3 linked regions of the Caenorhabditis elegans genome follow. The protein of the gene in region 2 interacts with the protein of the main gene of each other region in a pairwise test. Each region holds a gene or a part of one and is shown on either strand. Other genes may lie near its edges. The genes, in order: T02C5.1, cfz-2 and dpl-1.

Evidence for each region.
Region 1: the proteins of cfz-2 (region 2) and T02C5.1 interact in a two-hybrid assay, tested with the Caenorhabditis elegans proteins (one study listed by BioGRID).
Region 3: the proteins of cfz-2 (region 2) and dpl-1 interact in a two-hybrid assay, tested with the Caenorhabditis elegans proteins (one study listed by BioGRID).

Annotation. Positions count from the first base shown.
Region 1 is NC_003284.9:2,690,214-2,700,746, reverse strand, and holds T02C5.1 (TNFR-Cys domain-containing protein), read right to left. Parts: upstream 5,825-10,533; 5' UTR 5,813-5,824; coding exon 5,765-5,812; intron 5,715-5,764; coding exon 5,667-5,714; intron 5,624-5,666; coding exon 5,559-5,623; intron 4,687-5,558; coding exon 4,609-4,686; intron 4,558-4,608; coding exon 4,116-4,557; intron 3,527-4,115; coding exon 3,377-3,526; intron 3,329-3,376; coding exon 3,276-3,328; intron 3,227-3,275; coding exon 3,113-3,226; intron 2,892-3,112; coding exon 2,806-2,891; intron 2,753-2,805; coding exon 2,658-2,752; 3' UTR 2,474-2,657; downstream 1-2,473. Other genes in the region: igcm-3 (Ig-like domain-containing protein), read left to right, coding at 156-295, 1,240-1,285, 1,338-1,416, 1,991-2,149; T14G11.1 (Membrane-associated protein), read right to left, coding at 9,185-9,257, 10,072-10,194, 10,241-10,400, 10,447-10,533.
Region 2 is NC_003283.11:3,437,645-3,447,957, forward strand, and holds cfz-2 (Frizzled-2), read right to left. Parts: upstream 7,234-10,313; 5' UTR 7,232-7,233; coding exon 7,031-7,231; intron 6,379-7,030; coding exon 5,103-6,378; intron 4,510-5,102; coding exon 4,384-4,509; intron 4,330-4,383; coding exon 4,196-4,329; 3' UTR 3,860-4,195; downstream 1-3,859. UniProt on the Caenorhabditis elegans protein: Receptor for Wnt proteins.
Region 3 is NC_003280.10:9,165,504-9,175,343, reverse strand, and holds dpl-1 (Transcription factor dpl-1), read right to left. Parts: upstream 5,435-9,840; 5' UTR 5,388-5,434; coding exon 5,379-5,387; intron 5,333-5,378; coding exon 4,997-5,332; intron 4,949-4,996; coding exon 4,683-4,948; intron 4,640-4,682; coding exon 4,571-4,639; intron 4,522-4,570; coding exon 4,424-4,521; intron 4,381-4,423; coding exon 4,267-4,380; intron 4,220-4,266; coding exon 4,025-4,219; intron 3,981-4,024; coding exon 3,796-3,980; intron 3,750-3,795; coding exon 3,588-3,749; intron 3,540-3,587; coding exon 3,281-3,539; intron 3,237-3,280; coding exon 3,133-3,236; 3' UTR 2,779-3,132; downstream 1-2,778. Other genes in the region: sec-5 (Exocyst complex component 2), read left to right, coding at 1-177, 241-338, 387-725, 771-894, 1,565-1,859, 1,908-2,022; T23G7.2 (Calcineurin-like phosphoesterase domain-containing protein), read left to right, coding at 2,419-2,493, 2,545-2,610, 2,662-2,763, 5,952-6,044, 6,095-6,199, 6,250-6,338, 6,391-6,675, 6,722-6,841 and 1 more; T23G7.3 (G-patch domain-containing protein), read left to right, coding at 7,544-7,626, 7,673-7,975, 8,025-8,532, 9,150-9,275; W07A12.8 (DapB_N domain-containing protein), read left to right, coding at 9,641-9,667, 9,768-9,840. UniProt on the Caenorhabditis elegans protein: Synthetic multivulva class B (synMuvB) protein. SynMuvB proteins are required to repress the induction of vulval development by Ras signaling and probably act by forming the multiprotein DRM complex that represses transcription.

The sequences.
Region 1 (10,533 bases), on a different chromosome or scaffold from region 2:
AATAGAGACAATAAGTCGTAGAAAAAGGACGTTATGGCTGTGAAGACGTCAAGTATTTGTGTCACTTGTGGAAGTGTTTTATGGGAAGATGGTTGAATAGTGACGGACAGTAGGCGTGTGAATGACAAACTGGTTTCAATTTTGTTGCTTTGCAGAATCCCAGTCTCCATGGATGCGTTACTTGGTGGGGATAGTGCGATGGTGGGTCGCATGCCAACTTTCTGGATGTACATTTTGATTGGCGTCGCTGCTTTGCTGTTTGTCATCTGTATTATTGCAGTTTGTGTTAGAAGACGTGAGTTTGAAAATGCGAGATTTACTTCACAGTGGAAAAAATTTTTGTACAGTAATACAGTTTCATGGTGAACTTTAGGGTTTCAAGCCACTTGTGGGATTGTTGTCACAAATTGTAGTAGCAATGTTACCAGAGGAAAAGATAAAAAATTTCAAAAAGTACAAGTGAAATTGCCCGAAAAGCTAGAAAAGGCTACTGGGGATAGGCCCAAAAAAACTCAACACGAGTCCAAATAATCGAATCCCTTAATAAGACTTTTCAAATATTTTCAAATATTTTCTTGAATATTTTTATGGGGGTTCTAAATTTCCAAAAAAAAGGCTAAATTATATCTAAAATCTCTCATTTAAAAACTGGTTTATCATCATTTATAGCATATTTTGGTCGTTTTTTATTAATTAAGGTAATGTAGCTTAATCAATAATGTAAGATAAAATACCAAAATATGCAATAAAGAATGGAAATTTAAAAAAAGCCAATTTCGGAGTTCTGCGACACAAAACATCGACCAAAATTTGAGATTTTAGCCAAGGTAAAGCAATTATTGTTTAAAATTTTGAACCGCCATAAGTATATTTTCTAAAATTGAGAAAGTTTGAGAAGTTTCATCACGAAATTCGTTTATATATAATTAGGAAACCTAGAACCGTTAGCCCTCCTGTAAGTTCGACAGTTGAAATTTTAATTAATAACGTACGGTGATGATGTATCACCCTGAAGATCGAAAAAAAAATCGAAAAAGATAAGTAGAAGCTATATGAAAATTAGAAAAACAAATTCTCATGTTTTAGATTTTTTGGCTTAAAACATTTTTTTTTCCTAATGTGGCTGGGTACTACAATTTAAGGAAACGAACTCCCAAGTGGCAGAGTTCCGTTATAATTTTTCAAATAATTTAGCAGAATACATATTATGAACACGTTTAATCATCAATAAAATTTCAGGCGTGAAAGATCACCCAGACTACAATGAGCCGAAAACAAAAGCAAAGTAAGTAAGATCATAGTACATAGAATAGCGCTGTAATAAATCCTATTTTCAGCTTGAACATTCACCAAGAAAATGATTATTTCGAGCCACCACCAAATGCTCCACGATTGTTCGCACAACACCCACCCGAGGTATGCGATACGGCGTACGGCGTCTATTTGAGTCGTGAAGCTGTCGTCTGAGTTTGAAGGTTGTATCTTCCGACCCCCGATCCCAATCCCCCGACTTCCTAATCAATCTCATTCCATTCTCACACATTGTCATAGTAATCAAAAAAAATGTTTTAGGTATTCGGTTTTCTCCTTCTTTTTGTGATAACTTACCCTCTCCCCAACGCTTCGCTTCTAAGCTCATATTATCCACCATTTCACATCCCACTCATATCTCACGTGTTAAAATGTTAAAACCCACTTAATATCAAACGATTTTAGGTAAACGCGTACGACCAGGCTGTCAAAGATGCTCAATTACGCATGTCTATCGTCTAACACACTAAAATGGCCGTTTATGTGTGTGCGTGTCTCTTATTAAACTGTGTTACTGCTTTCCTTATTTACTTCCCTCTCTCTCAAGGCTCTAACGCTGGTGTGCATGCTCTCAACCAATCCAAGCTTTCAATTCACAGCCTCCTCTCTGCTTAAAGCTTTTTAACTGGGTTCACTTCTTTCATTCATTTCTTTGTTTTTTTTCTCATCATCACTTCAGAAGAAACGGACAACGGTCGCTGCATTCCACGAGGGTGTGAACTATGCAGAGCTCGAACTCAAAAGAGGCTTCGCAGCACAGCCATCAAGTACCGTATCAATCAGCTCTGTTAATAGTAGACCGCATAGGGGCACTGCTTCTGTTCAGTCTGTCGTCTAGCTAATCTATGTGTACATCCACTATCCTCCGTGTTACCTGTTTTTTAAAAACCGTATTGAAAAAGTTTTAATGGCCATATTTGAAATTTTAATTACAAATGTACCTTTCTGCGTTTTTTCTTTCTTTTTCATTTTTCACTTTCCCTTCTAGAACCATCCCTTGTTTGATTTTTTCTTCGAGCATTGTCAGCCATTCATGCAACTTCGGGTATTATATGCTATCTCTATCACCTCTCATTTCCCTCCACTTAAATTTCGTGGCCTCAGGCGGTGTTATCACCCATTTCCCTTTTTGGTGTTTTACCCCGACATTTTTTTTTGAAATGGAATAAAGGTTTTATCAAAGATACATTCTTCCCATAAATTTTAAATTTACTATTTCAGAACGTAAAAAGAAATGAAATGGAAAATGCGGATGCACATTTAAAAAATACAAAAATAAAAAAATAAAGAAGATTAAATATACAAACAGATAATTCTCATAATTCTCACGGAGAAGATAAAATTAATCAAACATCGAAAACTGGGTTGACATGAACGTGACGGCTGGCCTGTTTTTCCTTGCTTTCAAGCTTCTCGATATAATTGCTGGAATCAATGATCACTGGAATAAACTTTGTACATTAGATTTTTTTGTAACTCTTTTGAAATCCCTACTATGATAGTCCTGCGAGTCGGTGGGGACGCCCAAGAATTCCTTTCTTTCCGCACGCATCAAAGCATATGTGATAGAGAGAATAGTGCTGGAAAAACAAACCATAGATTTTACAGTTCAAAAGTTAGAATCTGAGACGTGTTGATTTATAGTTTGATCTACAAAAAAAGGCGGGAAGTTTTTTTCCAGAAAAATTGAGACGTTAGCACCATGCGAAATCAGATGAGATGTCTGCGTCTCAACTCCCGCATTTTTTGAAGATCAAATCGAAATATGACATTCTGAATCCACGTGATCTAGCTTACTTACACAACAATGATCATTCCCATACAGATGACAAAGACTGAACCCAAGTTTTTAATGAATAGTGGTGAGCTTTCTGTCTCATCATTCAAGATCTTTCTTCTATTTTTGAGCGACTTTCTGAAAAATGGAAATTTCTCAAATAAAAATCATTGAAACATTGACTTACGCGATGAGCTGGTCAAATTCCTCAATCTCCTCGGCTTCGACAACTTCGACGTTCTGTATTTCAAAAAAATTTCAGAAATCCGGGTAGATTTGCAGACATACCGTTCTGATTGGTTTCACTTGATCATCAACCCAATTGTCCCACTTGATTTCACGCTCGTTTGACTCTTCAGAGGAGTCATAATCGTCTTGGTTGATTTTGCGCACAGGGTTTGGTAGGGCTTCAATCTCTCGGAATGTGGCCTCGGCTTCCTGAAATTAAAATGATGAATTTAGTTCTGAAAATTTAAAAATTGGGCACTCAATTTTCATGGTCAATTTCAAAACATAAGAGCGAGATATCCCAAGTTTACATCAAAAAGTTAGCTTCACACAATAATTTTTTTGTAGATTATAGATGATACTAAAAGTGAGGGAATTTATGACGGCAGTTTCAAAAATGTTTAACCACCCCAACGGTTTTAACTCGGAGCCACTTTTTCTGGCATCTTCTCAATTGTGTGCGAATTTTGCTTAAATTAAACACTTAGAAAATCAACAAAAACAAAAAGAAAAAAGTTAGTTCAAGAAAATTGGGTCGTCAAAAAGTCTTCAAAATTTTTTTGAGTATACAAAACTTTTCAATTTCTTATTTCAATGATTTGCTCCGACATATTTCAGAAGCGGGATAGCTCAGTTGGTAGTGGTGGTCGCTAGCAATCTGGAGGCCACGAGTTCAAGTCCGGCCTCACCCTTATATCCCAGTGAGAGCACTACCAGGCAGTGTTCCTGACTTCCAGATCCGCAGTGCATAGCACAATTTAAATATGCTAACTTTATTGTTTTGTTGTTTTCCACCTACCTCATGAGAAACAATTGTAGTTTTTCCTTTCGCAATTTTAACAGAAGACGGAACTTTTTCACTTTTTTCAATCATGTAAGCTTTGACTTTTTCCGAAACAATTTCGCTTCCAATCTCATTTTCATCAGTCTTCTCCTCTTCGCCAATTTCTTCCGAAGAACTTGAATCATCTCCTTCTTCATAAGTCGGGTCTGGTAGCTGGTGCTCTTGACTATCGTACACATCTTCTAAACTGTTTCTCGCCATATCGTAGTTGATCTCATTTGAATCAATCATCTCAAGATTTTCACCTTTGATGAAATTATCTTTAATTGGTAACTCTTCTACCTCCTCACTATCCTTTTCATCATCAAAAACATTGACAAGCTCGTCTTTCAGTTTGGTCATCCCGATGAAATCTAGGCTAGACATAAGACACTTGGTTTGGTAAGAGACAAGCACTCTGAAACATGGGCTAACTTTGTAATAGAATCAGCCTCATTTTATGACATACTCATCAGAAATTTTGTCCAAGTTTGGTTTGTTTCCACACCATCCACAAACTGTGTTTGAAGTATCCGTGCATTTTGCTCTAAAAACTTTAATAGTTTTTCACAAAAGGGAAATTTTCGACGAAATGCGAGTTTTCCGTACGAGATAATAAAATATGTTTAATATATATATATATGACGTCATAAGAAACTGAAAATAAATATTGTTTATCAAGCTTGACCCCTGACTAAATTTTTGCATGATAATGTTCTACAACGGTTGCATGCAGATTTTGAAACTCATAAACTTTCATATTAGAAAATTAATTGAACCTTATAAACGGGTATTTTGAAGTTAAGGTACCTAAATAAATTTTTTAAAAACCCATTTTCTGAAAAACATTCCTACTGATGTGTAAATTTCAAAATTTGCCAATCTCGGCAAATTCGGCAAATCTGCATTTTCGAGTTTTGCTGTGCTGGGCAAATTTGGCATATTTGCCGCACACCCATGCTCCAAATGCCGAGTTAATTTGAAAACCCATGGTGAGTTGAACTCACTATGTTCAATGTTTTGCTAGTCACAAGTTTGAATAAACAAATGCCCGGAAAATTGATTGCTATCAAATTTCTGTTTTCAAACTGAAGTACTGTTTATTCTTATCAATCACCTTGTTACTCAATAGCACTAAGTTTTCACGACACCATATGACACCGAGGTGTGCATGACATGCTCTTCACAGTTATCAGTATTCTGACATCAATGCTAAATGACAAGACCGTTTGAATACACGGGCTGTCAGATTGTTTTATGTTTTACAATTTCATAAGGAATTGGTTTTTCAAGTATCTAAAGATCTAACCGCTAAATCTGGCAGTTTACAGACTTTTTATTACAGATTCCACGATGAGACAGTGTCCCGTAATTTTTGAATGAATTTGGCATAAAAAATATCAACAAAAAATTACTTACAGCTCGTACATGAAGTCACCACATGGAGTGCATTGGAAGCAGACGCCTCTGAAGTTGTAGTGCCCCTAAAACAAATTGAGAACTTACAAAAAAACAATTTAAACATACATCAAAGCATTCGGTAACGTAAGGGGACTCATGTAGCTTGCTGGCCACCTGAATAAAAATTTAACTAGAATATTTTCAAAGTGTACAATAGGTCTCACCAGAGTGACTGTACCAACAAAAAGTAGTAACTGCAGTGCTCCTCTCATTGCGTGCCGCGTGTAAAGGACTGACGCTCTTATCTCAGCGACGTCTTTTTAAATAATTTCAGATTGATAACAGTTCTATTTGTATGGTGTGGTTAGAGAAAAAAAGGTGGTGAACTTTGGAAGCCAATGTTAATTTTCTGAGTTGCGAGGGAGGTGAGTTATGAGGTGGAAAATTAAAAATATGAAAACATGGCAATTGATAGTTTATTAAAAGTGAAGACAAATAACCATTGAAGCACAAATAGAAAAAGTTTCTGCTCAAGTTTCCAAAAACACGCGGATTTGTTTTGTGAAAAAAATTATTAACTATTTAAAAAGATGACATTCTCCATTAAAACAAATTCGAAAACATAGTTGATGAAAATTTTCTTGAAAATTCAAAAAAAAAATTTTATCACTTGGAAAGTGATCTTGCTCTTGTCTCCTAATTATGATAAATATACAACATTTATAATTGAAACTAACAAAAATATTTTTTCGAAATTTGCATGTAGGAATTTTGTTTAAATACACCAATAATAATAATAAAATGACCAAATAAAACACTCCAAACAATTTTGGAAAGTTTGAGTCAAACGTTTGGCGAATTCCAAAATTTTCAAACCGTGAGCTTTAAAGGAAATCCAGAGCAATGCAGTATGTTCCGATTTTCAGAATTTATTAACAAAAATATTGTAGATGAAGTATTGAAAATCTGTGAGTAAGTTCGATTGCGAAAAAATATACAAGTTGAGAAATAGGAAAAGTTTTGGAGAAGAACTGTGGTACGTTGCACTTTGGAAAAAAAATCAGAATCTCCAATTACTTCTATGAGAGTTGAGAGAGTGCACAATCGTGAATGTTAAAATTTATTAAGTTTACACGCCGCTACCAAAAGTACTGTAGGTCGCATTTTTCACAAATGAGCGTTGAAACGAGATTTACGAGCTATCAAAAGTACAGAATATTTCCGGCTTTTAGAACATTTGTATCATTTTAACTGCAGTCACATGAATATATACCATGACTAATAAAAATATCACACATTTTCGTATGCTGGAAAACAAATATTTCATAAGAGAAATGATAATATTGATCAATACTGCAAAATTGTATCCAAAAGCTGGTTCAGTGTTTGACAATCAAAATCCTTGATCCAGCCTAATCAAATATTTGAAGAATAAAAATGCACGGAGTGAATCTAGTAAACTTTACCAGAATAAATCAAGGACTTATATATTTTTGAATTCAAACATATTCAATTTATATTGAAAATTGAATTTTAAAAAAGTTAGGTACAAACGTTTGAAAAATTTATATTATTTGAGACACAAAAAAAACATACCACAAAACTTATTTCTCACTCTAATAATTTATTGCGACTAGTTTTCTATTTTATTTAGTCTTGTGACTAGTCCATTGGCAAAAGTTGCATCTCACCATTTGCATACTCTCACTCACAAAACAATCAAAAATGACAGGAGGGAAGTTATGATAAAAAGCAAATATTGACCAAAATTTTACTGTGTTGTTGGGTCAAAATTGTATCGATATCTAGACAACTGCCCAGATGCAGTCAAAAGACAGAGAGTACGGGCGGCTGCCCACTAATCGTCGTGCCTGTGTGCCCATCAACTGCTCTGGTTGCTCTCGCATCTGTAAGGCGGTGTCTGAATAAAAACTGTGCGTTCTCATGTCCATCTGTGCTTTTTACAACATTTTTTGGTCACTTGTTCTGTTGACAGTGATTTCATAATATTCCATCAAGACGACGGTCTCAATCGTTTTCCGATTAAACCTAAAACAGTTTGTTTTTGACAACACGGTAGTTGTTGTCTTATCAGTGCATTATGGAACATGTTTCCATCAAACATTAAATTGAACAACATTGAGAGAGTTGGGCTCAAAGAATATGTTATGGAGCAAGTATGTAAGTTAGGAAGTATACGAAATATTGCGAATTTTGGCATGTTTATACTTTGTAGGATATGCATATTTTTCCAAAGAAAGTTACATTTTTTGCCTCCCTGACCATAAATGTACTTAAGTCAACAAATATACGCTTAATAAAATACCATAAAGTTTATTAAATAGTAATAGTGTAAAGGTGGTGTAGTCGAATTTTTTATTGCTTTATTAGACTCAAATTTGTCTGAAAATACCGAATTTCGTTATGAAAATTCTTGAAAACGTCTTTAAAAAAAGTTATGATGGCCAAAAAAATGGCCTAAAATTAGTTAAAATTTGAAATTTGACCGACTTGTCAATGTCGCAGCAACTGGAATTTTTTTCAAATCACCGTCAAATTGTGAGTATAGACGTCAATTATCTTGCGTTTTCAACTTGATTTAGGTATTTTAAAGTCGATGGACGGCAAGATTTGGTAAACTTTTTTTTTTTTAATCTCGCCGTCATCGACTTTAAAATACCTAAATAAAGTTGAAAACGCGAGAGAATTACATTCTATAGTTATAACTTGACGTTGATTTCAAAAATAAATTGTTTCCAGCCGCTGCGACATTGACAAATAGGTGAAATTTCAAATTTTAACTAATTTTAGGCTACTTTTTGAGCCGTCATAACTTTTGTTTAAAAGGTTTTCAAGAAGTTTAATTATAAAATTCAATGTTTTCAGACAATTTTGAGTCTAATAAAGAAATAAAATATTCCACTACACCACCTTTAATAGAAAAAAATTCAGACGCTGCGACACCGAGAAGTTGAAAAACTATGATGAAAAAAATCGTTTTTTTCCAAAACTTTGAAAGGCCGTAACTTTTTTGGAGAATTTTTCAAAACGTCTCAATTCAAAATTTGGTAGTTTTGGGTCATTTTGGGTCTAAAAAGCAAAGTCTCGAGTTTCGGTACTCCACCTTTAAAAACTATTCCTATCGTTTGCCAATTGATAAACAAATTTCCACAAAATAATTTTTAATACATACTTGTTTATTAATTAAAAATATTCCACAAGTTCAATATTGAAAGTTACCATAATGTAAAAAATTTTTTGAAAAAGTTAAAGCCATAATTGTAGGACACCTATAGAAGCAGCAAGGTCTTTGGAATTGAAATGGAAAATAAAAGCATCAGGGAAAAAGATCATGGAGTTTGAAAATGGAATTGCACAGAAACATGGTATGGGTTTCGATGGTGGGAAACGATACAGAAACAATACAGGAGAAATACTACTTGAGTATTAACCGGACTATATTTTGCAAGGGGGAGAAAGAAAAGGTGGTTTCAAAACCGGAGAGATTCACAACTAGAATTCACAATTGCTTAAAGTATACAAAGCAGAAAATGACTATGTCTGGGAAAGGTACAAGAATGTTTGATTTAAATACATGTGCGGTGCTTGATGAAAATGCTAGCGTGTAGCCTTAGAAAATTAGTTCAAACGGCTGGATTGGACTGTGAAGTTGATTGGGAAGATGTTTGCTCGAGTTCGGTGCAATCGTCCAAATATCTGGAAACAAGAATATTGGAATAATTTGTTTAAACAATTTTCAACAAGCAATCGGGAAGTTTTGATATATTTTTTGGTCGCAAAATCAAAAAAAAAAATCAAAAAAAAATTTTTTTTCGGGAATTTTCAACTTTCAGACAATTTTTGAGCACTTTTTCAGTTGTTTTATATTAAATGTGATTCTGGTAAAGCAAATATGGGCCTATACTTTTTTATTAAATTTTATTGAAATATTTAAATAATTTTTCAATAATTGCCGCGTGCTTATGGTTTGTCAAAAAATGTCGAAATTAAGAGGTTGATTGTACCCAAAAACTAAAATGAGCTGAAAAGTTCTGCTTTTTGAGGTGAAGTAGAGCCAGAGAGGATTTTGTCGAATACATTCAAAATTATTCTAAACGACCAAAAATGAGCCCAAAAAATTTCGATTTTTCAAAGTTTTGGCAGATTGCTAAACTTATGAAAAATATAAGCTTTTAAGGAAATCCAGAGCAATGTTGCTTGTTCCGACCCCTAGAATGTGTCAACACAAATAGTAGAAAAAAAATATTTTAGGTCAACTTCCAAAATATTGAGTGGCAAAATGAGTGGGTAACTGTCACAAAAAATTTCAATTTTCATACAGATATTTCGTCATTTTGGAGTAGTTGTAAACACTTTCCTCACTGGAGCTACTTCATTTTTAAGAATAATAGCTTGCAAAAGTCTTGTTGAAAAGTTTATCAGTTATCAGAAACACCTGCTTGGCTCTACCAAAGTGTCAACTGTTTCAACTTCCAATTCGAAATTTGTTATTTGTTCAAACATAACAAACCTCTCAAAATCAACGATCGGACAAACGTCCTCCGAACGGCGCCCTGCATCCCTCCATGAGCGTAGTGAGCGTGCACAAAGAAGACGCTGGTTGTCAATTCTGCGCATTCGAGTTTTGCGATTGCTGAAAATATGAAACACTTAAAATTTAAAAGAATACAAAAATTCACCTGTGACGAATGCTAGCCATTGCTGCAAGAAAGGACAAAAGACCAGAAATGCACACGAGGAAAACTCCAGCGCCAATGGCAACGATGTCGTCTTCGCGTTGGTCGGAAATGTCGGTTTGCGCAATGATGGCAATTGTGCAGCAGCAAAGAGTAAGCATCACTGAAAAAGTTAATGGAAATTGTTTGAAAAGAGCCCATCGCCATACTATTGGACATTTCCAAAATGGAATTACTGCGGAGCCACGCGAGAAATGGAGCTGGTGGAGGGAGAAGGCTCATGGTGGCACAAAGAG
Region 2 (10,313 bases):
ACCTCTTCTGTAGACAAAAACTCAATTTTTCCTAAACTACAGTAACCCTACCGTATACCTACAGTACTCCTACAGTACCACTACAGTACCTTGACATTATCCATCACCAACTTCCAACCCAATACCTCTTCTGTAGACAAAAACTCAATTTTTCCTAAACTACAGTAACCCTACCGTATACCTACAGTACTCCTACAGTACCACTACAGTACCTTGACATTATCCCTCACCAACTTCCAACCCAATACCTCTTCTGTAGACAAAAACTCAATTTTTCCTAAACTACAGTAACCCTACCGTATACCTACAGTACTCCTACAGTACCACTACAGTACCTTGACATTATCCATCACCAACTTCCAACCCAGTACCTCTTCTGTAGACAAAAACTCAATTTTTCTTCAATTACAGTAACCCTACCGTATACTTACAGTACTCCTACAGTACCACTACAGTACCTTGGCATTATCCCTCACCAACTTCCAACCCAATACCTCTTCTGTAGACAAAAACTCAATTTTTCCTAAACTACAGTAACCCTACCGTATACCTACAGTACTCCTACAGTACCACTACAGTACCTTGGCATTATCCCTCACCAACTTCCAACCCAATACCTCTTCTGTAGACAAAAACTCAATTTTTCCTAAACTACAGTAACCCTACCGTATACCTACAGTACTCCTACAGTACCACTACAGTACCTTGACATTATCCATCACCAACTTCCAACCCAGTACCTCTTCTGTAGACAAAAACTCAATTTTTCCTAAACTACAGTAACCCTACCGTATACCTACAGTACTCCTACAGTACCACTACAGTACCTTGACATTATCCATCACCAACTTCCAACCCAATACCTCTTCTGTAGACACTCAATTTTTCCTAAACTACAGTAACCCTACCGTATACCTACAGTACTCCTACAGTACCACTACAGTACCTTGACATTATCCATCACCAACTTCCAACCCAATATCTCTTCTGTAGACAAAAACTCAATTTTTCCTAAACTACAGTAACCCTACCGTATACCTACAGTACTCCTACAGTACCACTACAGTACCTTGACATTATCCATCACCAACTTCCAACCCAATACCTCTTCTGTAGACAAAAACTCAATTTTTCCTAAACTACAGTAACCCTACCGTATACCTACAGTACTCCTACAGTACCACTACAGTACCTTGACATTATCCATCACCAACTTCCAACCCAGTACCTCTTCTGTAGACACTCAATTTTTCCTAAACTACAGTAACCCTACCGTATACCTACAGTACTCCTACAGTACCACTACAGTACCTTGACATTATCCATAACCAACTTCCAACCCAATACCTCTTCTGTAGACAAAAACTCAATTTTTCCTAAACTACAGTAACCCTACCGTATACCTACAGTACTCCTACAGTACCACTACAGTACCTTGACATTATCCATCACCAACTTCCAACTCAATACCTCTTCTGTAGACAAAAACTCAATTTTTCCTAAACTACAGTAACCCTACCGTATACCTACAGTACTCCTACAGTACCACTACAGTACCTTGGCATTATCCCTCACCAACCTCCAACCCAATACCTCTTCTGTAGACAAAAACTCAATTTTTCCTAAACTACAGTAACCCTACCGTATACCTACAGTACTCCTACAGTACCACTACAGTACCTTGACATTATCCATCACCAACTTCCAACCCAGTACCTCTTCTGTAGACACTCAATTTTTCCTAAACTACAGTAACCCTACCGTATACCTACAGTACTCCTACAGTACCACTACAGTACCTTGACATTATCCATCACCAACTTCCAACTCAATACCTCTTCTGTAGACAAAAACTCAATTTTTCCTAAACTACAGTAACCCTACCGTATACCTACAGTACTCCTACAGTACCACTACAGTACCTTGACATTATCCATCACCAACTTCCAACCCAATACCACTTCTGTAGACAAAAACTCAATTTTTCCTAAACTACAGTAACCCTACCGTATACCTACAGTACTCCTACAGTACCACTACAGTACCTTGACATTATCCATCACCAACTTCCAACCCAGTACCTCTTCTGTAGACAAAAACTCAATTTTTCCTAAACTACAGTAACCCTACCGTATACCTACAGTACTCCTACAGTACCACTACAGTACCTTGACATTATCCATCACCAACTTCCAACCCAATACCTCTTCTGTAGACACTCAATTTTTCCTAAACTACAGTAACCCTACCGTATACCTACAGTACTCCTACAGTACCACTACAGTACCTTGACATTATCCATCACCAACTTCCAACCCAATATCTCTTCTGTAGACAAAAACTCAATTTTTCCTAAACTACAGTAACCCTACCGTATACCTACAGTACTCCTACAGTACCACTACAGTACCTTGACATTATCCATCACCAACTTCCAACCCAATACCTCTTCTGTAGACAAAAACTCAATTTTTCCTAAACTACAGTAACCCTACCGTATACCTACAGTACTCCTACAGTACCACTACAGTACCTTGGCATTATCCCTCATCAACTTCCAACCCAATACCTCTTCTGTAGACAAAAACTCAATTTTTCCTAAACTACAGTAACCCTACCGTATACCTACAGTACTCCTACAGTACCACTACAGTACCTTGACATTATCCATCACCAACTTCCAACCCAATACCTCTTCTGTAGACAAAAACTCAATTTTTCCTAAACTACAGTAACCCTACCGTATACCTACAGTACTCCTACAGTACCACTACAGTACCTTGGCATTATCCCTCATCAACTTCCAACCCAATACCTCTTCTGTAGACAAAAACTCAATTTTTCCTAAACTACAGTAACCCTACCGTATACCTACAGTACTCCTACAGTACCACTACAGTACCTTGACATTATCCATCACCAACTTCCAACCCAATACCTCTTCTGTAGACAAAAACTCAATTTTTCCTAAACTACAGTAACCCTACCGTATACCTACAGTACTCCTACAGTACCACTACAGTACCTTGACATTATCCATCACCAACTTCCAACCCAGTACCTCTTCTGTAGACAAAAACTCAATTTTTCCTAAACTACAGTAACCCTACCGTATACCTACAGTACTCCTACAGTACCACTACAGTACCTTGGCATTATCCCTCATCAACTTCCAACCCAATACCTCTTCTGTAGACAAAAACTCAATTTTTCCTAAACTACAGTAACCCTACCGTATACCTACAGTACTCCTACAGTACCACTACAGTACCTTGACATTATCCATCACCAACTTCCAACCCAATACCTCTTCTGTAGACAAAAACTCAATTTTTCCTAAACTACAGTAACCCTACCGTATACCTACAGTACTCCTACAGTACCACTACAGTACCTTGACATTATCCATCACCAACTTCCAACCCAATACCTCTTCCAACTACAGACTACAGAGTTCAAAGACCAAAGATCAAAGATCAAACTACATAGGGACAGAAGGACACGCGCTTTATATATAGTAAATGATTTGTATGTTTTTTCTTTGGAAAAGTGTCTGAAAATTTACAAACATGTATTAAATTTAGAACAAAAAATCCAGAAAAATCATGATTTTAGCCAGAAAACGCGAAAATATAAAAAATGACGTCACTCATTTGCGTGGGAATTTAAATTCAGTTTGGCCACATTTTGATATAGGCAAAATTCAAAAAAAATGTTAAAAACTTTTTAACAGTTTATTCGGTCATGACGGTCGTTTTTCTGCCATTTAAAGTGAATTTCAATCGAACACAAGTGTCTTGACTGACAATATTCATGAAATAATCTTCTAATATACCGTAAATGTTTTCAACAAAAAAATCATCAATTAAAATAATATTTATTAGGTATGTACATTCCGAAAGCTCGACAAGAGGAACAGGCAGTATTCAAAAAACAACACTCTAATAAGATTACAAAAACATTGTTTTTAGTTATTAAATTTGTGATATTAAAATTATTTGCAAAAACTTTTCTTTTAAAAAAACTGAGAAAGAATGCCGGGAACTTGAGATCAATGGGATGATGATGGTGAGAAAGAAGAGGTAAAAGCTCATGAGAAAAAACTAATTTTAACGACTACAAGTATTGTGGAAAGTTGGTCCTGAAGAGGTAGATGTGCGGGGATCACAAATATTAAATATGCATTTCTTGAGCACTACAGCTTGTCAGGAATGCCTCCGTAAAGATGGTTGTGTCGGAGACTTGTGTTGTAGAATTGTGAGGATGACATGTCAGATTTAGCGTAAAGTATGTCTGCCGGTTGGTATTTGGGTAAAGATCGGGAGGAACCTAAAATTATTAAATTAATAAAACTTGTTTAAACTCAAGCTAGATTCAACTTACCCAAACAGCAAATAGCATTTTTCCACGACGATAGAGTTTTGGTGCTGCACACCCAAAATCCGGACGTCCATCCCAAAATGCACATACAGCAAGTTTTGATAAGGGAGATGATCAGTGAGGAGTCGCCTGAAAATTTAAAATTTATGAAGAATAATAGGGGGGGGGGGGGGGGTTCAAATTTCAGAAAAAAAATTTGGCGAGAAATTTAAAATTTTTGAAAAAAAATTATTGACACTAATTTAACATTTTTTGAGGAAAAAAATTTGGCGGAAATTCAAATTTTCTGAGAAACTTTTTGACAGTAAATTTAAATTTTTTTCTGAGAAAAATTTTAGCTGGAAGTTCGAATTTTTGAAAAGGAAATGTGGAAAGAAATTCACAATTTTTGAGGCAAAATTTTGCGGAAAAATTAAACTTTTTGAATAATTTTTATCATGAAATTCTAAATTTCAGAGAATATTTTTGGCGGTAAATTCAATTTTTTCGAAATAAAATATTGGCGGTAAAATCAAATTTTTAAAAAAATGTTTGCGGAAAATTTGAATTTTTGAGAAAAAATGTTTGGTGGAATTAAACAAATTTTTGGGAAAATTTTTAGAAAACTCGTTTTTTAATTTTCTAAAAACAATTTTAGCGAGCAACTGAAATTTTTTAATGTGAAAAAAATGTTTACTGGGAAATTTAGATCAAAAATTGTTATAGTTTAAAAAAAAACTCACCGATAGTTTGCTTTGGCGAGCATGAGCACAACTGCGATTGCTCCCATAATGATCGATGATTCTGCTCGTAGAATAGAACACAGATAATCAATAACGATGGAATTGTGTAGAGCAATGAGAAAATCCCGATTTTGCTCATCAACTGCGTGATTTTATGGGCACTCTCCAGTGAAGGATGTTGCTTTTGTACTTCGTTTCTGATACTCCACAAATTGCAGAATCCGATTACCAAGAACAAAACTCCAACGATGAAATATACGAGCAATGGGAAAAGCACAAAGATTCGTTGGAATTGTAGATCAGTATTTCCCACGTAGCAGATTCCAGTTATCGGATCACCATCGATCGCATTAAAAACTATTACCAATACAGTTTGAATAGCGGGAAGGCACCATCCGACCACGTGGAAATGGAATGAGAACGAGGAAATCGCTTCGGGGGACCACTTTGAAGCGGCCGACAGCACCCAGGTTAGCGAAAGGATCACCCACCAAACCGAGGCAGCCATTCCGAAGAAATAGGTGAGCAGGAAAACGACGAAGCACAAGGATCCAGAGTTATCATCAGCCCCCTTAATCCTCATCGAGTCGCATGCGATCTCCTCGTGGCCCACGAAATATCGAATCATGAATCCGACGGCAACCATGAGCTGACAGAATGCCAACATGAAGATCGGACGTTCGGGGTATTGGAATCGATCGGTCTCGATAAGGAATGTGAGGAATGTGAAGGAGGCTAGCACGCAGCATGTGATGCTCCAGAACGCCATCCAGTTGCTCACCAGGCTATGACTCTCGGCCAACGCTGGGGAATGGCATGAGTAGGCGCAATTTGTTACATTTCCAACTTTGGACTTTTCAGATGCCACAAACTGGAACGGTTGGTTACAAGTGCACTGACACTCGCTGGGACCGGCTATTACTTCATTGTCGATCTTGGAAATTCCGACTTCTGGGCCATCTGGACTATAGTTATGATTTTGATTTTGATTCTGGTTCTGATTCTTATGATGATGCCCCTTGTGCTGCTTCTTTGGTGTATCTGGTGGAGCTGCACAGATGTTCCCAGTCGACATCTGATCCGACATCTTTGGCAGCGCCTCGCAAGACAGTGTCTCGGGCCATCTGAATCCGTACTTGGCCATTATTGGACTGCACTTGCTGCGTGCCTCCACACAAAGTTCCATGCACGGGAGAATTGGTTTGTCGTAGTTTTCCTGGCAGATCGGGGTGTACATTGTGCAGAGGAAGAATTTGAGATGTTGGAAACAACCGACCTGGAAATATAAATTTTTTTTTGATTTTTGGAAGAAGGTAAGTTTTTCAAATTTACTTTTTTCTTGATTTTTGCGAAAAAAATTGTGAATTTGTCGTAATTTAGAGCCTAATTCAATTTTGCGTTTTTGCAAATTTTGAGCGCGAAATTTAAATTTGGATTTTATTTAATTTAGCTCAAAATTTAAATCTAATTTTTTTTCAACAACTTTGGCACTAAATTAAGGTTCACATTTTTTTAGTATATAACAAATTTAAATTTATAATCTTGTTTAAATTTTAGCGCCAAATTAAAATTTTAATTTTTAAATTTTTGGCGGAAATTTCAAATTCAGATTTTTTTAAATTTTTGGTGTGATATAAAAATTTCAATTTTATTTAAAATTTAGGGTTGAGTTTTTTCAAAAATTTGGCGCAAAACTCATTCTGAAAAATTTAAATTTTCAGCGCGAAATTCATATTCGGATTTTTTTTTCGAAAATTTTAGCGCCAAGTTAATTTTTTTTTCAATTTAGCGCAAATTCTAAATTTGGTGTCTTTCGAATTTTTAGCGCGAAATTCAAAATTTCTCAATTTGTGGTGCAATATTCAATTTTTGTTTTTTTCATTATTGCAAAAAATATTTCCTCATAGAAAATTGTTTAAAAAACTCACCTCCACCAGCGGATAAAATTGATGAACTTCCAATCCGGCTTCTTCCTGTTTTTCATGTCCATAACTATTCGGGAACGATGTCATATTGTAGCCAATACCTTTGCATAGAGGAATTGTGATTTGCTCACATTTTTGACGTTTTCCAAAAAGAGCCCCACAGGAGCCAAGCAATAGGAACAGCACGCTGATCCGGAGTAGCATATCTAGAAATAAAATGTTAATTTTGAAGTTAAAGATATTAGAAAAGGTATAAAGAAAAAGGAAAGAACAAAAAGAAAAACAAAAAAAAAGATAAATGAAATTTGAGATTTAAGTAGCTGAAGGTGGAGGAGAATAAGAAGACAGGAAAAGTACAAAGGATGCGCTTCCTCCTGAGGAGGGAGGATCGGTGTCAAGTTACGGGAGTTCTTAGAGAAAATGATCCGTTAAAACACAAAAAAATCAATATCCACGTAGCAAAACTGTGATCGCTTATCACTATTTACCGAGTACTACTACTATCATGACACAATACACACAAGAGCTTTGACCTAACATCCAGTGATCAGCTATCGGATCGGTATCAAAAATATAAGAGAGAGAGAGATACCCAAAGAGCACTTTTTCATCATACAGAGCATCAAAAGCATCAAAAAACCAGTAAGGGGAAACGATTTTTTTGCGGGAAATAGTGGAGGATATGTGGAGAGAGTGTTTGCAGGCACTCGAAAAATATATCCAACCAAGATATATCGGAAAGGTCTTTATCAAATTAGATATGTTTTTAGCTAAATTCTCTATATTTAGATCTGGGATGAAATCTGAAAAAAGAATATACAAATTTATGAAAATGAGAAATAAATAAGGCTCAGGATACGAGAATTTTGTTACGTGCTGGGGTATGTAACCTAGTTGTGCAAGCATAGGGGTCTCAAACGGAACACGAATGGAATTCAAGGGGTGTCAGGTTGCATAAGAAGAGCCTAGAAAGAGGAGATATGTTTTGACTCTACCACCTCCAACCAACAACTACTGAAGTTATGTACATATATATGAATGAGCTGGGGGAGATGGAAAGGGGGAGGAGAGAAGAGTGTGCAAATAGGGGAGGGCAAAGTGGTGGCTGGCAAGGAGTTGGAAAATTTTGGAAGGTGCTAAAAGGAGGAGGTGACCCCCACTGTGAGCAACAACAGGTGGAATGGAGGATGGGTTAGAGATGTGGATAGGGCTGAAATTATTATAGGTGGAGTAGCGCCAGTAGGGAAAGTGTTAAAACTACTGACTTGGTGCCAAAATAGCCGAATATTAAGATAAAACGTTTCAAAAACTTTTTGAAAATTTTTTATTTACTGGCAAAAAATGACAATTACTCAATAGGCAAAAACTCATAATTTTGGAAATCGATCAAAATAAATTTTTTGCCCTACATTTTCATACTTTAATTTTGTTTTATTTGTTTGTATTAAAACATTGTAGGGGTCGGAACATGCGACCGGAAATTATTTTTTTAAAAAAATTTTAAAGAGTATTGGCATGTGTTTTTAAAATGACCAAAAATTACAGTAAAAGCTTTTAAAAAATTTTTTTGGAATTTCTTAATGCACTGAAATAATTGGAACAAATTGCATATTTTTCTTCAATTTTTATATTTTAATTGTTTTTTTTATTAATTGTGGAAATTTCCCAAAAGGTACACATTTTTTAAAAATTTGGCAATTTACGAAAACTGACTGGAATCTTTCAAAAATCTATATTTTTTGTAGTGTTTTTACTGATGTTTGGTCATGTTAGACAACCTTCAAATAATTTTAATTTTAAAATCGCAAATCCTGAAAACTACTAGAAAAAAAGTTCCGACTCTACGAAAAGTTGATTAAAAATTAAAAATGTACTGATAAATTATACAAAAATTTAGAATTTTTCCGATACAAAAACAAGTTTTCGAAAGTATAATTTGTTTTTGAAATTAAAGAAAATTCTTTTTTTAAAACTATTTTTAAAAAAGTTAAAAATGTGAATAAATTCAGAAAAATATTCAAAAAATGGTACAAAATGTTGAAAACAAATATATCCAAACGTCACCGACCTTCTAAAAAAAAGGAGCAAAGTTCCAGGAAAACTAAAAAATTTAGAAACTTTGCAATCATTGCAATTATTATTACAAGGAGTTTATAATACCGGAACAAAACATAGAATTTCAGTTCAAAATTATGCACATCTACTAAATTATAAGTATGTACCAAACTAGCATATATGCCAAAAATCAATGCCAAATTTGGCAGGTGCGCTAAATTTCCAGACAGGTGTATGCGAAATTGGCAGGTGTCTATAACTAGGTGCTACTTGGATTTTCAGAAGGTTTGCAGCATGAGCTGGGAACATTTTTAATTTCTAGAATAGAAGGATAGTTTTTGAAAATCTGAACATTTTTGGTAGCAATTTCGAAACTGGAAATTTAAAAATCAAACATATTTTGAAATTCGAATTTCGCAGTTTCAAATCTACCAACTTATTTTCCAAAATAGGATTATAACAGTGACTGGATTGACCTTGCGTTCTCATTTCTCACACACAGAAATTTCGGAACAATGCGTTAGTCCGCATGGTTGGAGACTTATTGACTAACGGAAGAGAGTACTGTAATGACGTGGCATTGTAGTGGTCCGTATTTGTCAACGGAAGGAGGTAAGAACGTGTCTAATGACACCTAGAGTGCAAAAGTATGGGAATAAGAGGGTTGAAAGAGGGAAAATGTTTATAAATGGGAGCAAGTTGGGATACATTTTGGGAGCAAGAAGTATAAACTAACTTCTTATTGGACACAGATGTCGAGAAAAGAACTTGCAAAAATTTTAACCTTGGCAATTTTTAATTTGAGAGAATTGAAGTTTTGTAGTAGAGTTTCTGAAATTTCAGATGAAATTTTGTTCATGAAACACAATCTGAAGGTCAAAAAAACCTCTAAAAATCAAAAAATTGACCCAAAGTTGATTGAAGAGAAATTCAAAAATTTAGATTAGAAATAATGTATAATATAATTTTCATATATTTGCAATTCCAAAATAGAGCTTTTGTATAATATTTGCGAAAATATCTTTCAGATTCCAACTACATACTTCAAGCACTCACAAAAATCTGTAAAAATTCAAAATTCTTTTAAAATTGGAAAAACCTCACATGTAATAACTTTTTGGAAGTCTAAAAAAATTCATTTTAATTATTTTAGAAATATTTTTTCCAAAATAAAATTTCAATATCAAAACCCGAAAATCTCATTAACGAAAAAAATTAAACACAACAACGA
Region 3 (9,840 bases), on a different chromosome or scaffold from region 2:
CAGTTCCTGCTGATATTAGTCGTTCAAATCTTCAACTCAGTCTAAAAACTACAAGATCTTTGATTTCTTCACTGCTTGAAAATCAATTCAGTCTTACTCATGTTCAACCGTTAGTTGAACTGTGTATGACTGCCAGATTGAAGTTGCTCTCCGATTTCGTAGATTGTGGAGTGGAAAGTGAGTATAACTTTTATACAATAAAGATGATAAATATTATTTTATAAAATATTTAAATTTCAGGAGTTGCTCTTCTTGCTCACCGAATCAACTGGAAGCAAGATATTCTTGACAGAGCACAACAAACAAAGACAATTCTTCCTGATTATTATGAAAATGAGGTTATTTTCCATTTAACGGAAGTTATTAAGATCTATCTATTATTGCAGATTTGCGAATGCCTTACGCGTACTCGTGATGCTCTTTCCATTTCTGGATATCCTGGAGAAGCTTGCCTTTTCTCTCGAGAACGTTTCCGTGACACAATTATTGATCTATTCGTACATCTCATCACTTCTATAAAAATATGTTTCGATCGGTTATTCATTCGACAAAGACCTCAACAATTGGCTCAAGAACCTGGACAAAAGAAAGGAAATAATGAAATAACGACGAAAAAACTTTTAATTGCCGTTGGAGATATCGAATTTATCATTGCAAAAACGCTGAATAATGTTGGCAAAAAGATGCAAGAATGTGGAGTTAAACATGTTGATCAAATTCAAGAAGTGAGAATGAAAAATTTATGCTTCACAATTTTTTTTTATTTTCAGAAATCTCGAGCAAAACTTTCCGCATTCCGAACTAAAATGATCAATGATTGCATTGCGATGATGAGCAGTGCATTTGAACCTCTTATTGCTTCAGCAACTTATGAGTACTTACCAGATGATGATGGTATGTTCAACGATTTCAGATGATACCAGAGCTGAATCAGATTATTTTTTCGAAATTTAAAACAAAAAAGTTAGAAAATACAACAAAAAAGTGAACAAAGTTTTTTTTTAGTTTGAAACATTATTTTTAAATTTTTTTTAAATATTTTGGCTGTAATGGAACTCTTTTTATGTATTATTTACACAAAATTCTGAAAATTCGTATTGAGCAACATAGTTGACGCGCAAAATATCTCGTAGCGAAAACTACAGTAATTCTTCAAATGACTACTGTAGCACTTGAGTCGATTTACGGGCTCAATTTTTAAAATTAATTTATTTTCGAAAAGTTACAGCTATTCTCAAATTTTCTTAAGTTTTTCGTTTTTCCAAAATAGTTTTTGTGTTTTCATTCAAAATTTTATCGATGAAAAAAGGTTTTTGTAAATCGACACAAGCGCTACAGTAGTCCAAAAAAATGAATGAATTACTGTAGTTTTCGCTACGAGATTAAAAAAAGATATTTTATAGAATTAATAATTTTGAATGTTGTCTTTTTTTTGTAAAAAAAATAAAAATTTATGAATACTGAAAAATCTAGAAGAAAAAATTCCGCCAAAAACACGAATAACAAAAAATCTACAGCAATGGTTGATACCTACAGTTGGAAAATAATATTTTTTCTATTTCAGATATCTCCGATTACGCCAAGGAAATGATCCTCTGCTCTGTGCTCCAACAAGCAGAACTAGAACTTTATGCTCCACAGCTAGCAATTGAATGTCTCCAACAAACAGTATCAAATGCTCTTGATGCTCTTCTTCTTCATTTTTCCCGACTGAATCAAGATACATCACCATTGATTGTAACACAAATTGTCATTGATTTGACTGGTCTTGAAGAGGCTCTCTCAACGTATGCCACGCTGGCAATTCGGGTGCAAATAAATACTTATAGAGCAGGACTCGTCGGACGATTTGATAATCAGTATGTTTTTAAATCGAATTGGAAAAACAAATAGTTCTCATATTTCAGACGTCTTCAGCAATGCCTTAAAAACATGCGAACCACTATGCGAATGGCTCTTCAAAGTCTAGAGCAACACGCCGAGAACCTTGGCGACGACTCTCACAACACCTCCAACATCTAGATCAATTTATTAAAAACGCTTTCAATTTTTTCTGTGATATTACAATATTCATCATAATTTTAGTGCCAATTGTTAAAAAAGAACTAAAGCCCTGTAAAAATCTATATCTAAATTATTTAAATTGTATTATTTATTTGTAATAATAAAGTTTCGCTTTTCTCTTTGAACTTATTCTTATGTTTTCATCCCGTACAACACAGCCGATAATCCAGTCGCTTCCACGTACTTTTGAAATGGTCATTCTCTAAATTTTCTCCTTCTCCCGATAGAAATCGGATGTAAGGAGATGAGTTTGGGCGATAAACTGAGAGAGAACATTGACAATTCTATGCTAAACAGGAAAAGCGATCAGAAAAAAGATCTCGAGTGAGTATGTCTTCGCAGTTTCAATTTCAGATGAGTTTCGAGCGATTTCTCGTTTTTGGCTCGGTTATCTCCTGGATTCTGCTCACGTATTGCTCAAGATTTTGGGTGAGTTGATTTACATAAGCCCAGTTTTTTCTATAAGATATCATATTCCAGATTGAATCAGTGGAAGGATATTTAGTTGGTAACCGCCGTCGAGTCATTGCCGTGTTCCGCATTGAAGTGAGTTGCTTCTTCTAATTAAAAAATCTAATTAATTTAATCCAATTAAAGTGCATTTTAACTCTGTTAAATGTGTTTGCATACGGCCAGCTGATGAGATGGTTCGACGATGACATTGTCAAGGAGAAATCGTTGGATCGCCGAAAAATGCAGGTAAAACTAAAAATTATAATCTATCATTCTTTCATAAAAAATGATGGTAAAATCGGGAGCATTGAGTTACATATAATGCTGTCAAAGTCGGGGCATATAAGAAGCATATTTCAAAATGTCAAATTGAACACAAAATAATAATGTAAAAGGTAGATTATGAAATCTGTCGTCAATTCTAATCTGGCAAATGTCGGAATAGAATCGACGAAGAAGACTATACTATTTTAAAGATTAAAGAAGAGGGGATTTTAAAGGAGTCTAGAAATAAAATTGAAACTCGTATAGAAACTATTTTAAAAGCAGATGAGAATCGTTTGAGAACCTTTAAAAACTGGGAAAAGGGGGATAACAACTAGTTACATTAAACATTTACTGGAAATAATCGTATTCCTCCGGTTGAGGGTGTTGAATGAGAGCAGCGGCCTGCGCAGAAGTCATCGGCTGTTCCGTTTTGCGTTCAAATGTGCACATATCTGAAATTAAATTATTTAAATTATTTAAGGCAAATTTAAATTACCTTGCTCCATCATTTTCTTTTGTATAACTTGTTGAGCTGGAGATTGCTTTGGATTGTTGACAACAATTTTACGAATCACTTTCCGAACAATTGTGCCCGGCGGGTGTGGACCACCTGGAGCAACAATTCGCTGAGTTACGATTCGTTGTCCAGGTTGTAACTGATGTCCAGAAATGCTTCCAGCAGGATAGACAACTCTCTGTTGCACTTGATGTGGCTGACCCATATGACTCATTTGTGGTTGCTGTGGACGAACTCTCTGAAAAATAAGAAAAATCAGTTTGTGAAATCTTTAAAACGAACTTACATATCTCTGACCAACTGGCTGATGCATCGGTTGATGTCCTTGTGGCACGTAGTATTTTACAGGTCCTGAATTCACAGAAGTAGCTCCAGTTGAGAGCCTGCGATCTGGAGGTACAGTAGAGTACGGCCGATTGACAGTTCGAACGACGGGAGTCATATCATGCTGAAAATGTTTTAGTTGTACTGAAAAATCTTCATTTTGAACAAACCTTCATTGGTCCTTGTGTCTTCTGTACGTAATATCGTTTGGTAACGGGTGGTACTTGAAGAGGCGTGTTAACTTGAGCTCGAATCTTTTGTGGACTATAAGTATTATACATTGGCCCTCGGCTGGCTGATCCCTGATTAACATTCTTATCCATATCATAATCGCGTTCCATTATACCGGCAGCAGCTAGAAAAAACAATTTTTTTAATGTTTTTAAAAAACTTTTTTACCACTTCTGTCCTCACTTCCATCGTTTATCAAATGCTCCTGAAGCTGTCTGTTGAATCGCGATGAATATGACATTTGCGCCAAAGAGCTTGTCGGCTCAACGTATTGGGCTTGTGAGAGGTTCATAGACATTTGATCAGCAATCAACTGTTGTTGTTTTCTCTTTTCCTCTTTTTCTGCTTCAACCTTTTTACGGTCTGAAAATTGTGGTTTCCATGATTGATTTTTAAAAAGAAATACTTACTGGCAATGATTTCGTCGACATAGTGCTGGTGTAAGGTTGGCAAAAAGCTTTTCGCAGTTTTGACTTCTTCCGCTGTGGGATTTGTAGTCTCCAAACTGCATGCAAGGTTCAACTCTGAAAAATGTGGATCTTATCGGTTTTTGGCATTTAAATTTACTTTTTAAAATTTCGAAATCATCGTGAATTTCAAACTTCTTGTCGAACGAGAACAGAAATTCGGATTTGTCTGATGATACACTGCATTCCACATTTGCTCTTAAAAATAGATATTTGAGACTATTATAATTTTGGAATTTCAACTTACTCTTTATCAGTATTAATTATTAAAAACGGAAGATGAAGTACAGTGTCGTTTTCTGGGCGACCATTTTTGCTGAAAATTTAACTTTTCTAAAATATTTAACACTCAAACGTACTGCTCATTTTTTCTATTCCGTTCGACCAAATTTTTGTAAGAAACAATTTGCAATACCATTTCTTCGAGAGCCTGCTTTTTGGAACTTATGCTGGCTTCCCGTCGCGATTTCTCTTCTTCCAATCTCGAAATTTCTTGTGAAGCTGAAGCAGGAAGTCCAATCCATCTGATATCTTTCTTGCTTTTTGTGATGATATTCATTGCCAAAAGAACGTTCAACGCATCGTATACTCTCCTCCGAATATTTTTCATATCGTATTCTTGTTTCTAGAAAAAAAAAGTTTTTTTTCAAAAGAAGAAAAACAAACTTCTTACCACAACATCAATCTGCTTGATAAGATTATTTTGAAAGTAATCTGCTACCAGTTCATCAGCCACTTCATTGTAATTCGTCAATCCTTTTTCTTTCACCTTTTCACAAACTTTCGTGGAAAAATGTCTGAGTCCGGTTGGTTTGTCAGATTGTTGACCTCCTGCTCCACTAGATCCTCCAACTCCCGAAGGTTCATCCCAGCCCACAGGTTCATTGTGACTCTCATCTTGGTATGAACGAGGAAGACCTGTAGGCATTTGAACAATTCGTCTTCCCATACTCAGGGATACTTGTGGTCGACTTTGTGCCGGTTGGCCGATACGGGGATCGTAGTTTGTCTGCAAATGTTAGTTTAATATAATATCGATTTCTTATTTTACAAACCGGGTTCATTTCTACAGGACCTGCCTGGACGAATCAAGATTTTCGATTGCTTAGATCTGTAAATGATGACTTTGATTACGAGAAAAGCTACGAAAAGTGTTAATTATAAGAATAATGAATGATATTTTGTTGCCATCGTAAAAAACTGATTCTTTTCTGTTCTAAATCTAAATTTTATCGGTTTTTAAGAACGCTGCAATACAAACGTTAACCAGAACAATTTTTGATCAATACGTGAGAGAAATCAATAATATTCGGAAGATGGAGGAAAACAGAAAAAACCCAAATTTGAAGACGCGCCGTGCGTTGCGAGACCCATCAATGACGATAAACAACGCGAGAGGTGTCAAGGCGGAGTGTTGTTGCTGAACAAAATTTTCTTTTTTTTTCGTTCGACACTGAAATTTCAACAAATTGCAATATTCTTGTTGGAAAAAGTTAGCAAAACAAGAATTTGCTTTTAAATAAAAATTTATTTTGTTTTCCTGCTACGATTTCAAAGACCATAACTATTTTTCTCTTCAAATCGATTAAATCTTCTTCTCACCAAAAACTGACCTATTCTCATTTCAGACAATCCGGAAACGATGCTCGGATGGCCTTATTATTTTCCTAGTTCTCGGACAAGCGATTTATTTTATGTATTATGCCCCAGCATTTCTCCAGGTTTGTTTTTAGAAATTGTGTTGCTGTTAAAAGAGTCTCTTGCATTTCAGTGGCTTCTCTTCGATCTCACCTCAATCTGCGCGGGAATATGGACTAACATGATTGCATTCGTATGTGGATTTGGGATTGTTAATTTCTATGCTGGAAAAATGAAGGTAATATTAATTTCAATAATATTTAAATTATTTTAAAAAAATTTTCTCAGATGTTCCATTACACCGCTTCGATTTTGGAAATAATAGGAAAGGTTCCTTATTTTAACGATCTCATGTGGAAAAGAAGATCTCAAATAAAGTAACAAAAAACATCTCATTTCGGAACTTATCATTAAAAATGTTATTTTCAGATTCACAATGATAATCACCTTGCTTCTGTCAGTCAGTATGTTTATATCACGCGATTGGATTGTTGTCAAAGAAAAGACCATCAAAATAAAAAACTTCACTGCTGATGGAAATCGATTAAAATTGGCAGTGATCTCTGATTTGCACGCTGGTGCAAGTGTTTATTCGGAACAAATCAATCAAGTTGTCGAAAAAGTGCTTGAAAATCCAGTTGATGCTATTCTGATTGTTGGAGATATGGTAGATGCTCCTGTTGCGGAAATCGAGGATAGAGTTCGACCAATTCTGTAGGCGAATTAGTTTGATTCACAAAATTTCAATTTTTGTTTTCAGTCAACTCCCTGCTCACGCACCTACTTATTTCGTAACTGGCAATCATGAATATTATTATGGAGACGTTCAGGAATGGATAAGATTCTACAAAAATGGCCGTATTAATGTTCTTGAAAACGAGTAAGTTTTACAAAGTTTTTGAGTTTTTCTTGGAAGTAACAGTGATATTTTTCAGAAGTACAATGCTGAAAGGAGTCTGTTTGGCTGGAGTAAACGATATTTCAAGTCCGAAATCTGGAATCTTGAACACTAAAATGGATCTACCAAAAGCCATCCATCGATGTCCATCAAATACTTCTCAAATCGTCATGGCACACAATCCGGCATCAATTCGAGAATTCATCGTAGATCATCCGAAAGAATTATCAGAAATTGATATTGTCTTATCTGGACACACTCATGCAGGACAATTCTACGTAGTTATTCCAGTAGTTTATTGGCTTCTACCATACTTTTATGGACTCTATGAGATTCCATTTGGAGGTCAATTGATGGTAATGGCAGGATCATTGTATCAAGGACCACCCATGAAAATGATTGGAATGAGCGAAGTTTGGGTGTTGGAATTACTGGGAGAATAATGTGTTGTAAAATGTAAAATTCTCATTAAAACGGTTCGATGACTATTTTCTGTATGATTTCGTTGTAATTTATTTGATCTGTCTGTCTGAAATAAAAGTGTCTTCTTTGCTCCAATTTATTTTAACATTATTGATTTTACCAGTGTTCGGAACACTGTAATATTTTATTTATACAATCATTCTAATTATATTTCAATTCCTGTGATTTTAGGGTTTATCGACGCTTCAATTCTTTTGGAAAATGTCGATTTTGGCAGAGCCGAAGAGAAAACAAAAAATTAGTATTGATCCCCAAAATTTGACATGGAAAAATGACGATCAGAAGTAAGTTTTCTCCTATCAATAATCAGGTTTCATCAACATTTTACAGACTGTCAAAAAAGCTTATGGAGAAAATGGGATGGTCCGAAGGAGATGGCCTGGGAAGAAATCGTCAAGGAAACGCAGACTCTGTGAAGCTCAAGGCAAATACTTCTGGAAGAGGACTTGGTGCTGACAAAATGGCTGATTATGATTCTACATGGATTTCTCATCACGACGATTTCGCCGATCTTTTGGCAGCTTTGAACAAAAATAAAGAACAGGAACCAGAACAAACGGAAGAAGAAAAGAATGCAGCTGCGGAGAAGATTTCCATTGAATTGAAAAGCAAATCGATTAGGAGAAGAATTCAGTAAGTTTGAAACATCATTTTAAAAAAGTATAAGTATATCAATTTTTAGTTATCAAAAATTCACTCGCGCCAAGGATACAAGTAACTACAGCGATAGCCACAAAAAAGGAATTCTTGGATATGGAAGACTCAAATCTGACAATGCCGAAGAGAAAATCGAAGAAAAAACTGAAAATTCATCTGTAAAATCTGATAGTTCTGATAGCCAAGCTGACAGTCAAGAGAAAAAGGAGGGAAATAACACTGTCAGCACCCTATCCGTCGGTGACTATTTCGCTGCAAAAATGGCTGCTTTGAAGGCAAAACGGGAGGCTGCAGCTGCTAATCAGACAGAAGTGAAAATGGAAATAAAGACTGAAGTGGAGGAAGAAGAATCGGATGAAGAAAAAGCTCGTCGAAAAGCCGAAAAAAAGGAGAGAAAACGATTGAGACGAGAACAAAGAGATAAGGAAGAAACTCTGGAAACAGTTGAAACTATTCTGGAAGTAAAACAAGAAGTTAAGGAAGAAATTATTGATGAAGAGTTTGATGAAGCTGAACGTAAACGACTGAAAAAGGTAGATAAGCTATTTTTAGAAATATGGTTGACAGCAAGGGTGTCGTTTTTCGATTTTTTCGATTTTTCGATTATTTCGAGGGAAAATCGAAAAACGAAAATGTTCGATGTTTCGATTTTCTGAAAAATCTTAAAGTCGAAAAAAATGTTCAGAAAATTAATCATAAAATAAGATTTAAAAAATCTAATTTAGCTTATATTGATGAAGGAACGTAAAAATTTCTTTAAAAAATAAGGAAATGACCAAAATTTTAAGCTAATTTTTTTTTAATTGAAAATTTTTTCGAAATATCGAAAAATCGAAAAAAAAACGAAAATTTCGATTTTTTGTTACATACTTTGAGTAAGTCACAAAAAATCGAAAAACCGACACCCGTGGTCGACAGTATCTAGTGCTAAACATCAAATACCTGACTTTATTCTTGCACAAAAAATATTTTGATTCCCTGAATTCGATTAACTTTTTTCAAAAAGTTTATCAATTTATTATCATAGCTTCAAATTGAGTGATAATATTATAAACATGCCCATTACCGAAAGTGTCATCTTGACAAGGTTGCACTTTTATCAAAATTGTCAAAATTATTTGAATAAACCTCAAATTGACACATGTTCCAGGAAAAGAAACGTCTGAAGCGACTCCGCGAGCAGCAACAACCGGAAAATGAAGGAGCTGAAGGTGGGGAGGCAGATGAAGAAGAAATTCCAAGAAAAAGAAAGAAGCACACCGAAGATGAGCACTAACTTCCATACCGACTAAATTGCCAAATTTTTTGTTTTCAATTTCTATTGTTACTGTTTTCCGTTTTATTGTTGTACTACTCGTATACTCTGTTTCTTTTTTCCTTCTGCTACACTTGATAGATAAAACAAACGTTTTCTTGGCTTGTGCTCCCGTTTTCTTGTTGCACGAAAATAATTAGCTTGCTGCTCTTTCTGAAATTGACTCCTTCGGGAGTGGGAGTAATGAATAGAAAGAGGAAGGAGGAGCTGCAAAAGCAGAAGAAGAAGAAGAAAATGAAATTGAAATTGAAATTGGATTAGTTGTGAAGAAGCAGATTCGCCGAATTTGAACAAAACGTAAAAGTCTGCAGCTGCAACACTAAAAAATGTTAGCTGTTCGAATTTCTAAAAGGGTAAGTTGGATTTTGAATTTAAAATTTAGATATCTGTCAAAGTTTTAGAGTTTTATTATGATATTGTAAGTGAATTTTTAAAAAACGTTACCAATTCCAGATGGTAGGTAACCTCTACATCGGAGCAAATGTTAAACAAAGAGCACAACTTGGAGAAAACTATTTAGAGGGAA